Coturnix japonica: one gene and its partners. The main gene of each other region encodes a partner of the protein of the gene in region 2 in a complex. Links are inferred from orthologs where the notes say so. Each region holds a gene or a part of one and is shown on either strand. Other genes may lie near its edges. The genes, in order: UNC119, GNAT1 and PDE6G.

Region 1 (3,743 bases), on a different chromosome or scaffold from region 2:
TGCCCTGCTCCCTTTGCTAATCCCCAGTTAATCGCGTCACAAGGTTTTCCTCTTTTTGTAACCACAGTTGGATGAGCAAGTAACAAATCCTGCTAATTGCAAAGGAAACGGGCCTTTTGCTTTACACCTAAACCCAGCCCTACAAAAGACCCACATGCACCAGGGCAGCACCCCTGGGTCCATCAGGTTTGACCTTAGCATCATGTAGGATGTGACACTGGAAGGACACGGCACAGATACGCAGCACTGCTTGCACGCTCCCCCTTTAAGCTTATTAAAAAGACATCAGGAGGAGAGCCATGAGCAGTAGAATGGGTTCAATAGTGAGAGCTGCTGCGGTATTGGCCTCGAAGTTTGGATAAAAATGAGTTATCTGGAACTGGGAGGGATGTTTGTGGCACTGCTGCAATTCCCAACCATCAGCTCCTGTGTCAGCTTCACGTGGGCTGGAGCACCTGGATCTGGGCATCAAAACAGGGGTCAGAGGGATACAAAGGGCTGTGGTCATAAGTTGGGATGACTTGGTGGTACAGGCACTAAGGTTTGCAATGGGAAGAGTTCATTCAAGTAGTTTTAAGAGGAGAGCTTTACTAAGAAGGGAAAAGTGGAAGAGTGGGAGAAGTTTTAACCCCGTGTCTCTCCATCCAACAACCTCTGATGGTCCTTTTAGTGCATCCCAACACATATCACCACTGTAACACCCTATAAAAGCCATACATGACCATGATACCACAAAGTCCTTGCCAGCTCCTCTTATTCTCCTGATGTTAAAAGGAGGAATTACGTGCTGATCTTTCTCATGGTCCAAGGAGCATTGCATTCCCCATGCCCTCTACCCCATATATCCTCCCTCCAAATTCCAGCCAGGCAAAGGCTCCACCCCAGACACTGCCCTAACTACGGGCACCAAGGCTGCATGCTGTACACACCAAGCTGCGAGGAGAAAGAATGAGGAAGGAGTTGTATCTGGGCTTCCATACAAACCTACAGGGACCTATACACCAGAGATAGGATGGCACACAGGTCCCTTTGGATCACAACTTCACACCTCCACCGTAAGCTTGAGCAGAAGCAGAGTAAGACACTGCCTGAGTGCAAGAAGAGGCAGGAGAGCAGCTCTGCTGCCCATGGGGCGATCAGCTCAGCCTTCCTGCACACAAGAGCAAATAGCAGCAACAAGGCCAGGATGCCCAGAGTTGAATCCACATGAGGTCTGCGTGCCCCATGAGCAAGGGCAGGGGGTGGCCACGTGCCTGCAGCCCCCCAAAGAGGGCACAGCTGCATGCAGGGCCACGTGGGCTCCCAAGAAGCAAAGCACTGAGCGCAGCCATCGCTGGGACTCACCATCCAACTGCTGCTCTTCCAAGCGCGCTGGCAGCACGCTCCAGTGCCTGCTGCTCTGATTGCTGGGCCTGGGCAGTGAGTCACAGCCCAGCATCTCAGCAGGGAAACAGAGACACAACAGACCCCCCAGACCAGCACTATCTGCAGGGCTTCCTCCCCTCCTTCCTTTCACCCATCCCTGTGCTGCTCAGCCCCCAATACCCACAACCGCATCCCTTCTTTCTGGGGCTTCTCATGGCACAGCCCTGCCTGCAGCATCGCTCCTGCTCCAAGCACAGCCACCCATCATTGCCCCCTCCTCCCCTGCAGAGACACAACACACACGGGGGTATAGAAAGGCTCTTTGGGGGGTGGATAGGAGGACACTACCACAGCCAGGTTGGCCTGGAGCATGTGCCATCTCCCAGCCCAGCACGCTGCAATCCCAGCAGAGCACAACAGCCCCTCCAGCCCCACAGGATGCTCTCAAGACCGCAGCAATACTATAGGGGTGGAAAAGGGGAAACCTATTGGGAAGGCTGCAGGATGGTTACAACACTCCTCCCATTGGATCTGTGACCCCATCCCGAACCCCTCCATCCCTCTCTTCCCCCCGCAGCTGTGGGGTTCAGCCTGGCCCACCCATAGGACGGGCACAATGAGCAGCATCCCACGTCCAGCCCGGCTTGCAGTGGGGGTCCCACTCCGCAATGGAAGCACCCCCTCCCCAAGCTGGGTGTCCCATCCCACCCAAATTGCCGCCCCATCCCTCACCCGACATCACCGCGGTGCCCCCCCCCGGCCCCGTACCGCTGGTGACCCGCTGCAGCCCCAGCACGTCGTCGGGCCCGATAAGCGCTTTCCGTCCCAGCTCCTCCTCGGTCCGCGCTGCCGCCCCCCCGGCCCCGCCGCTCTTCTTCACCTTCATGGCCCCTCCGCCTCCTCCTCCTCCTCCTCTACCTCCGCTATGAGCGGCCCCGCTCAGCGCTGCCGGCCCCGCCGCACCGGGAGGGGCAGCGCCGCCCCCTGCACGGCCCGCCCCCCGCACGGTACAGCCCAGCGCCGCCGGCAGCACCGCCCGGCATCGCTCCCAAAGCCCCTCATCGCATCCCGACAGCATCGGGATGAACGTGCTTGTTTCCCCCGTACGACCCCAAAAGGGCTCCCCCAATACGAGAGCTCCCCTGTTAATGTGCCAAAGGGAAAAGCTCGACCCCAGTAATGTGTCTCTAAACCAACGCTCACAGACCCCATTCATAACTGCCCACCAACAGCTGAACCCCACCAACCCCCTTCCCCACCCCCACTTGGTGCTATATGGGCTACGTACCTTTAAGACGGGACTCAGTCCAAAGCAAGAGGTGGCCAAAGCCCAGAGAGTGGGAGAGATTCACACAGCCCCCACAGCACAACAGGGCAGGATTGGGCAGGGCAGCTCTTTATTTACACATGAACACAGCACGGGGCTGTGGGGTGCATGCAGGTCACCCTCCCTCCCCTCAAGTCTCAATAAAGAGGGGGGTAAAGCAGCAGTTCTGAGTGGAGGGTGCAAGACTCTGTGAGCACCTGCCTGCACCGTGATGCAATGCACTCTATGAGGTCCCAGCCCCAAGGCAAGGCACCGTATATGGGCTCAGTCCATCTTGGTGGGCTCCTTCTTGCTCTGCCTGGCTTCTCGGAGCATCTTACCCAGGGAGAGGAGGATTGGGACAGCCATGGGCAGGAAAAGAGGGATATAGATGGCAAATTTCTGATCATCCGGGAAGTAAAGAAGATGGAGAAGAGAAGGGTCAAAGAACGCCCGCTCCGAGCAGGTGACAGCTTCCTTGCTGGCCTGGAAAGCTGAATGCAGGCGGCCTTCAGCCAGCTCTGCCACGGCATCCTGCACTGCAGCCACCGCTCGGTATACCTGCATGGGAACAGCACAGCAGTCAGTCCTCAACCAGGAAGCACCAGAGAAGCAAAGCTAAGGGGCCTCGTTCCTGGGCAGTGCCCCACTGCTCTGCATGGGGCCAGCAGCTCCTGACCCCTCCACTCCCCACATCAGGCTGTACCAGTCGTACCTCGGAGGCGACGTCGTCTTTGATGACGATGTTACTGATCTGGTCCAGCAGCTGCGCCAGTGAGGTCAAGGTGGTGGACACAGTGGCAATATTCTCCAATGTATGGGCCCAAAGCAGGCGGTCCAGCTCCCAATCGGCCACTCCTTCATTCCCTGGGCTCTCCACCAGGAATTCAGGGGGCAGCTCCTCCCGAGAGATCCCAAATAATAACCTGGGAACAGATGGGAAGGTCCCAGCCTGCAGCAGGATGCACAGTGCACAACAGTGCTGTAGGTTGGTGGTCAGCACAAAAAGTCACCCTCAATCTCCCACAGTCCACAGAGGGGCCGAGCTGGTGGGCTCCAACATGGAGTCATT
Region 2 (3,743 bases):
GAAAAGCCCACAATCCTTGAGGTTCTCCTTGATGATGATGTCGGTGACGGCGTCAAAGACGAACTTGACGTTCTCGGTATCAGTGGCGCAGGTCATGTGCCAGTAGATCTCCTTCACGTCCCGCCGCATGTTCAGCTCCAGGAACTGCAGCTTGATGTAGTTGCCAGCATCATCATAGGTGTTGGGACCTACAAGCAGGGCCATGGGTCCCCAGCACCCTGCAACCCTTATATTCCCCTGCCATCACCCCACAGCCCAGACCTTCAGCTGGGTGCTGAGGGTGCTGGGTTCACCTGATGAGTGTCTGGCAAGGGGTGCCAGCACCCAAACCCCCCATGCAGGGTGTGAGCGTGCCTGCCCTCACCGTCATAGTCAGGGAAGCAGATGCTGAGGTGCGCCTTCTTGATCTTCTCCTCGAAGAGGTCCTTCTTGTTGAGGAAGAGGACGATAGAAGTGGTGGCGAAGCACCTGTGGTTGCAGATGCTGTTGAAGAGGTGCAGGCTTTCGTGCATGCGGTTCTGTGGGAGGACACAAGCCCTGTCAGCCCCCTGTCAGCCCCCCAGCCCACCCAGCACCCCTTGGCACGGCCACCTACCACTTCATCATCCTCCACCAGCACCATGTCGTAGGCACTCAGTGCCCCGCAGAAGATGATGCACGTCACCCCCTCAAAGCAGTGGATCCACTTCTTGCGCTCTGATCGCTGCCCCCCGACATCGAACATCCTGCAGGGCAGGACCAGGGGGCTCAGCATCCCCCTAATACCCCTCACCCCAGCACTTGGGGGCTCAGCCCCTACCTGAAGTTGAGGTCCTTGAAAGAGAACTGGGTTTCGATGATGCCGGTGGTTTTGACACGGGAGCGCAGCACGTCCTGCTCAGTGGGGACGTAGCCAGGGGTCACCAGGCGCTCCAGGTCCGACAGGTAGCTGATGGGCACAGTGTGAGGCACGTCCCACCAAGGGTGCCCCCAGCCACCTGCCCACCCTGCACCTACTATCCTGCCGAGTCATTGAGCTGGTACTCAGAGGCCCGGTCAAAGCAGGCCTGGATGCCTGCATCCTTCCAGAGCCGCCCAATGATGTCCGACATCTCCTTGGGCATGGTGCCCTCCTCAATGGTGTCTGAGAGGTGCAGCAGCTTGCGGGCATCATCCTGCAAGGGATGGGGGCTCAGTGGGGATGGGGAAGGGGTACAACTCCACACCCCATGCTGGGAGCCCCTTACCTGGCGGGCTGAGTCGCCATACTGGATGTTGAGCGTGGTCATGGCACGCACGATGGCCAGCATGGACTGCAGCGTGTTGCTGTAGATGATGGCGATGAACTCCAAGCACTCCTCCAGTGAGTAACCATCCTGGTGGATGATCCTGGACAAGATGGGGGCATGGGGCTGAGTGGGGTGCTGAGGGCACCCATGGAGCTGAGCTATAGGGTAGGGGCAATTGTGGGCACTGAACTGGTGCGTAGGGGTACCCATGTGGGTGGATAATAGGGTGGTGGCAGCCATAGGGCTGAACCATAAGGTAGGGGCACCCTTGGGTCTGAACTATAGGATGAGAGAACTCATGGGGGTCAACTAAAGGGTGGGGACACTCATGGGGCTAGAAAATAAGGCAGAGGTGCCCATCGCTGCAGTTGAGGGCGTTGAGGGGTGGATGCTCCCTCTGGCTGTAATATGGGGCAGGTAGGTGGCACGGTGCTGCCTGTGTGACTTACTTCATCTGCTTGACGATGGTACTCTTCCCTGACTCTCCTGCTCCTGTGGGGACAGAGTGGGGGCACAGTGGTGACCACCAAAGGGGGACACAGGGAAACAGGGAGGGAGAGAGCCAGGTCTGGGGGGGGCACTGGGGTGGTGCTGCTGGGGGCTCAGTCAAGGGTGTGCTGGGGGAGCTGGGGGTGGGGGGAAGAAGAGGATGGGGTAGGGATGGGGACACAGCAGTGGGGCATTGCAGGGGAACGTAGCCAGGGCCCGGACATGGGGATGAATGAGAGAACAACTGGGGAAACTGGGGGGCATTGGGAGGGGGACACAGTGCTGGGAGGATGCGAGGGTAGCGTTCAGGGGCATGTGGAGGGGTCTGGGGATGCTGGGGTGGAGTTGGGGTGCTCAGAGGCACGGGGGTATTGGATGGGGTGAGCTTCAGGGGTAATGAGGAGTCTGGGACTAACAGGGTTTGGAGCACGAGGATGTCACGGGGGAGGTTCAGGCATCCCCCGGAGCTGTGCCCACCTACCCAGCAGCAGCAGCTTGACGGTCCTGGCATCCTTCTCAGCGTCCTCCTTCAGCTTCTTCTCCAGCTCACGGGAGTGCTTCTCCTCGGCGCTGGCCCCTGCGCCCATCCTCGCCTCCGCCGCCCGCCGGCTCGCCCGCTCGGTGGAGGTCAGCACCAGGACGGGCAGTGAGCGCCAGCCCCCCGCCGCCTCCAGCGCTCGCCCACCGCCCGACTGCGGCCGCCGCTGCCACCCAAGTGGGCCAAGGACGGGGACAAGGAGCGCGGCTTAAGGCAGAGTGCGGATAAAGCCCCGAAATCTGCCCGGGGCTGAGCTCAGCAATCCCCCGGCTCCCGGCGTCAGCGCTTCTGCGGAGAGGGCGCCCAGCTGTCCCCTCCCAGAGATGGTGGCCCAATGTCCCCAGGCCGTGGCTATGCCCCGTGGCAGGGATGTCCCTGCTGGCCCCAGCCATGGGTATGGCCTTATAGTGGGGATGTTGTACCCACTGCTGTACCCAGATGTACCCGCTGTTCCCAGCCATGGGTATGGCCCCGCTCCAGGGATGTCCCTGCTGTTGTTCTCAGGCCGTGGGTATGGCCCTGTGAACCATCCCAGTCGTACTCTCAAGAATCCCTGCCTGATGTCATTGTACCCCTAGTGTCATCCCCACCCCCACGTCCTGAGCCCTTTCCAAGACCCTCATAATGTCCCCAGCTCCTCTCAGTGCCCTTTGCCCCAGCCCCCAGGTATCCTTATGCCTCACCACACAACACCAAGGACACCCCACGTCCCGCCCCCTGCCAGTGTGTCCCCATTGCCAGCGAAGTACCCCCGTGTTCCGAGGAACAGCCCTCTGTGTCCCAGCCCCGTCCCCACCAGTGCAGCCCCCTGTCCCCCAGCCCCAGCATCTTACACCTCCCCAGTGTCCCCCCAACCCTCCTCCGCGGGGCTCCTGCAGTTCCGAGTCTGACCGCCAGAGGGCAGAGCGACCCAGCATAGAGCAGCACAGCCCAGTACAGCCCAGTACAACCCAGTACAGCCCAGTACAGCCCAGTACAGCCCGTCAGAACCCAGTACAGCCCGTAGCTACGCCCGTCACAAGACCCAGTACGCCCAGTACATGCCCGCGCCACAGGGGCCAGTACAGCTGGGGGTTTTCATTTACAGCCAGTTACAAACCAGTACAGCCCAGCACAGCCCAGTACAGCCCAGTACAGCCCAGCACAGCCTGGTACAGTCCAGCAGAGACAAGCACAGACTTGTACCACCCCCCCTTCCCCACCAGGGCTACCAGTGCTGCCTCCGGTACCCCAAGTGCTGCCCTAGTCTGGCCAAGAGCCGCCCATGCCTGACCCCAGTGCCCCCAGCAGTGACTGCAGTGTCCCCAGTGGTAACTCAGAGTTCCCCCATAGTGCCCCCAGTGGCCTCCAGCTTCATGTCCCCCTGCCCAGCGTCCCCTCCATCACCCTGCAGCGTTCCCAGCACCCCACCATGTGCTCCCCTGGATCCCACCCCCAGAACTCGGTGA
Region 3 (3,713 bases), on a different chromosome or scaffold from region 2:
TGCAGCACTATGGGGACGGTGGGGAGCGGGCACTGCAGGCCGTGGAGCAGCATGTGCAGGATGAGAACATCAAAGCGATCCTGAAGCTGGAGATCAGGCTGCGCATGAGGACAGAATGAGCCCAAAAAGTGGTGAGGAACTTTCCTGCTGAGCTCCAGGAGTCTCCATGGGACAAGAGGATTGGAACACGGTGTATCTGTGTGGTTTGGGATGTTGGTTTGTGAGATGGGGATTTTAGTTACGGTGTTTGTTTGCATCAGACTGGAGGGATTCACCAAGCACATACACCCCACGTGTTGCCCCAGCACTGACGATGCAGGAGTGGTGTCATCACTCGGTGCTTCTATCCCCAGCACTGAAAATCCCTGCTACGTGCAGGATCCTTCCCACTGCCCCTTGGGTTTGCAGCATGACAGCAGCCTTGTGACAGAGATGGGCTGTGGTGTCACACCGTCCTCCCCACGCTACATTAAGCCTCTTAGGGGCTTCTCTCTGACTGTTGTCCAGAGGGGCAGGGGCTTTTCCCAGCCCCTTTCCGATGCTGTAGGATTTGTTTGGTTCAGGGGAGAGCGTGCAGCCAGAGCACGTGGGCCCTGCAATGTCCCATCAAGGGCAACTCCTCACTGTGCTGCTGCTTCCTCGCTCATCTCTGCTTTAAAACTCCTTAAACTTCACCTTGAGGCGTCACCTCACCAAATCCTGCCCAGCTGAGCACAGCCTCAGCCTGATGACACACACTGTCCCTGCAGAACCTCACCCCATCCTGCCGGGATGAGCTCAGGCAATGCACTGAATGTCACCAAAAGTGGCTTCTGAGTGGTGTTTGCTAATGAAGCTCAGTCTGGAAGTATTAATTAACAACAGGCCTTTGCTGTAGAAGAGGCCAGTTCTGCCAGCTTCGTATGAAACACCTCTGGATCCGTGTAATCCTATTTGCTGAAATCTAACTAATTGCCATTAGTGGAAGGGCCTGGAGTTCAATTAAAGTGTGCTGAGATTATACCTTTTTGTAATTGCTTTAGTGCTGGGATTACGGGAGGCTTTGGAGTGATACTCCCAAGCAGCAGGGCAGGGTGGGAAGGGGCTGCCTGGCCCCACTTCCACCATGTTTTGGGCTGATGAAGCAGAGTCTGCAGTGCTCTCATATTGTCTATACTCAGGTGTCCTCAGTGACGCCTGAGATGAGCTGGTGACCTTCATGTTTAGCAATCCCCATTGGAATAGAGACAGGGATGGTGTGGGGATGCTGTGCTTGGTGTCGGCACTGTTATGGAGTGCTGCCCTGACCATGCTGTGGTCCCATTCCTGTCCCCATGGTGCAATGGCTCAAGTCATAGGGGTGTCCCTCCTAGGGGGGATGTAGGACATCCCCATGGATGCTCTGCAGCTGTTCCCTGCCCAAGACCATGTTCTGTGGGGTGAGACAGCATTGCTAACACGCAGCCCATCCCCGTGGCATTAATCCTGACACCCCCTCCCCATGCACGCACACACTCCCACCCTCCTCCCCACCATTCCTGTGGGGAAGGACACTAGATTACCCATTTGAGAAGAAGGGACTTAATCCTATTATCCCCGAAGAGGATAAATCTGCCAGCCCCCAGCTGCCACACAGAGCACCCAGAGGACGTGTGGAGCAGGCTGGAGGGACTCATTTGGAGCAGCACCGGCCTTGGGCACGGTAAGTGATGGCTTTGGTATGTGAGAGACACCACCCAGACCTGTAGGCACTGGGGCTGCAGTGCATGGCATTGCTCAGCTGGAGCCCACGCTCAGCTCCTGCACTTGCAGGTGAGGCTCCGTGCTGAATGCCACCAAGCTGGCAGTGGGAGCTGCCTGTATTACAAAGCCCCAGTGCTTGGCAGGTTGTAGGGTGCCTGTGGGAGGGATGGAGCCATGTGCTGCCCTGGGACTTCGGGATCAGCTGCAGCCCCTCCAGACTGCAGCACACAGAGCCCTGTGAGCCATCCCTGAGCATCACGCAGCTACAGCTGGAGCAGCTTTCAGCTCACACGGCTGCACTGCCCCCAACTCACAGTGGCACTTACAATGCCCATCTCCACAGGGATGAATTGTGGTGGGGGTACCTGGTGGTGCACATCCACCTGCAGAGGGAGGGAAGGGCTGCAGGTATTGCCCCAAAGAGTGCAGGGGCTCACTGTGCCCCTCTGGATGCCCTTTGCTGCCTTTGGGGTAAGGGGATTAGTGGGGTCTGAGCTGGCCTAATTCTAAGGAGGGGAAGGAGAATGCTCACCCCCAGGGCAGCCCGGAAAGCGGATCAGCCCTGCAGGGCTCATGGCAGGGTGGGAACAAGGGCACTGAGATGGCTGCAGCCACACCAAGGTTCACCCCATTGCTCCATGTCCTTGTGCCAGGTGTGAGGAACCACCCCGTGCCAGTACCAGAACCACAGGGACAGCCGTGCCGCAGGGTGGGCTGTTAGCCCTGCTACAGCCATGAGCTTGGAGCCCCACAAACCAGAGCTCAAATCAGCCACCAGAGTGACCGGGGGACCTGCCACCCCCCGGAAAGGACCACCTAAGTTCAAGCAGAGGCAGACGCGGCAATTCAAGAGCAAGCCACCCAAAAAGGGGGTGCAGGGGTGAGTAGGGCTGAGCACCGGGGCCCAGTGTGGGACACACCTGAAGGCACCCATGTGGTGCTGCTCAAGGCTGATGCATAGCAAGGACAGACACCTGGTTTCTTTGCAGGTTTGGCGATGACATCCCAGGCATGGAGGGGCTAGGAACAGGTATGTGGTCCCCATTCCTTTATGGTGCAGCTGCAGGGCTTGCAGCAGTGCTGAGACTTGTGCTGATGCAGCCTCTGCTCTCCACAGATATCACGGTGATTTGCCCATGGGAAGCTTTCAGCCATCTGGAACTGCACGAGCTGGCCCAGTTTGGCATTATCTAGGCTGGCTACAGCCACCACCACCACCTGCCCTATAGCAGTGCTTTCTTAGAAACTGCCCTATCCATGTAGCAGGGCATAGCCTGGAGAAACAGTCATTAAAACCTGAAATAAACACAGGAGTCTGGTGTTATGGTCTGGGGCTGGAAAGCTACAAGGGTGGGCAACCACACCAGAGAGGACAGGATGGAGAAGAGGTAGAGCAGACCCAAGTAGAGTTCAGAGATTTATTATGGGATGCACATGTACAACAAAGGACGGGAAGGAGAGCACGAGGAACACTCAGCATCCTCTCCATCCCCACAGCACACCCTCAGCCCCGTGCCCCACCAGGCGCAATGTCTGCCAGCACTTTCAGTGCCAGGAGCAGCCCGGTGGCCTCCAGCAGCACCAGCACAGCCGCCCCGATGGCAATGCCTCCAGCCTGCGCACGCAGCCAGGCACCCAGCTGAACCACACAGCCCCCCAGGTGCACCACGCCAGCAGCCTCCATGTCTCCCAGTTGCAGCACCCCAAAGGCACATTGGTCGTTAGCGATGGAGCCGTTCTGCCGTGGATCCAGGCAGCAGGAGGCCGGGACGCTGCACGCCTGCACACCGGGCGCACTGCAGTTGAAATACCTGCAGGACATAGAAGAAGATCTGGGTGCCTGCTGCTTTCTTACTAACCCTCTCCATGCCCCCACGTGCCCCCAGCCCCACTCACGGGTTGCTCTCCCAGTCGCGGTAGGAGCTGAGCCCGCAGCACCGCAGGCTGCGCTGCACCTCATCCACCAGGAAGCGCAGGTCGGGCTCCTCCTG

What was found.
Region 1: the proteins of GNAT1 (region 2) and UNC119 are in contact, whole or in part, in a crystal structure (PDB 3RBQ), measured with the Homo sapiens proteins. The link is inferred for Coturnix japonica from reciprocal best matches to the Homo sapiens genes GNAT1 and UNC119. Residues at the interface, in NP_000163.2 of Homo sapiens: Gly2, Ala3, Gly4, Ala5, Ser6, Ala7, Glu8; in NP_005139.1 of Homo sapiens: Asp87, Phe88, Val89, Arg90, Phe91, Ile105, Lys106, Lys107, Gly126, Arg127, Phe128, Val129, Tyr131, Phe137, Val147, Glu163, Leu172, Ser218, Tyr220, Asn230.
Region 3: the proteins of GNAT1 (region 2) and PDE6G are in contact, whole or in part, in a cryo-EM structure (PDB 7JSN), measured with the Bos taurus proteins. The link is inferred for Coturnix japonica from reciprocal best matches to the Homo sapiens genes GNAT1 and PDE6G. Residues at the interface, in NP_851365.1 of Bos taurus: Ser140, Arg201, Arg204, Lys205, Trp207, Ile208, Phe211, Asp227, Val229, Glu235, Val236, Asn237, His240, Glu241, His244, Leu245, Ser248, Ile249, Ile281, Phe283, Glu305, Leu306, Met308; in NP_776846.1 of Bos taurus: Arg36, Gln37, Phe38, Lys39, Ser40, Lys41, Pro42, Pro43, Lys45, Leu60, Val66, Ile67, Cys68, Pro69, Trp70, Glu71, Phe73, Asn74, His75, Leu76, Glu77, Leu78.

What each region holds. Positions count from the first base shown.
Region 1 is NC_029534.1:4,518,559-4,522,301, forward strand, and holds the start of UNC119 (protein unc-119 homolog A), read right to left. Parts: upstream 2,308-3,743; 5' UTR 2,252-2,307; coding exon 2,134-2,251; intron 1-2,133. UniProt on the Homo sapiens protein: Involved in synaptic functions in photoreceptor cells, the signal transduction in immune cells as a Src family kinase activator, endosome recycling, the uptake of bacteria and endocytosis, protein trafficking in sensory neurons and as lipid-binding chaperone with specificity for a diverse subset of myristoylated proteins.
Region 2 is NC_029527.1:2,003,577-2,007,319, reverse strand, and holds the start of GNAT1 (guanine nucleotide-binding protein G(t) subunit alpha-1), read right to left. Parts: upstream 2,683-3,743; 5' UTR 2,345-2,682; coding exon 2,239-2,344; intron 1,761-2,238; coding exon 1,718-1,760; intron 1,369-1,717; coding exon 1,227-1,368; intron 1,155-1,226; coding exon 997-1,154; intron 929-996; coding exon 800-928; intron 726-799; coding exon 596-725; intron 519-595; coding exon 365-518; intron 189-364; coding exon 1-188. UniProt on the Homo sapiens protein: Functions as a signal transducer for the rod photoreceptor RHO. Required for normal RHO-mediated light perception by the retina.
Region 3 is NC_029533.1:5,208,561-5,212,273, reverse strand, and holds PDE6G (retinal rod rhodopsin-sensitive cGMP 3',5'-cyclic phosphodiesterase subunit gamma), read left to right. Parts: upstream 1-1,130; 5' UTR 1,131-1,681; intron 1,682-2,375; 5' UTR 2,376-2,456; coding exon 2,457-2,602; intron 2,603-2,711; coding exon 2,712-2,916; 3' UTR 2,917-3,098; downstream 3,099-3,713. Other genes in the region: OXLD1 (oxidoreductase-like domain-containing protein 1), read left to right, coding at 1-119; TSPAN10 (tetraspanin-10), read right to left, coding at 3,227-3,533, 3,619-3,713.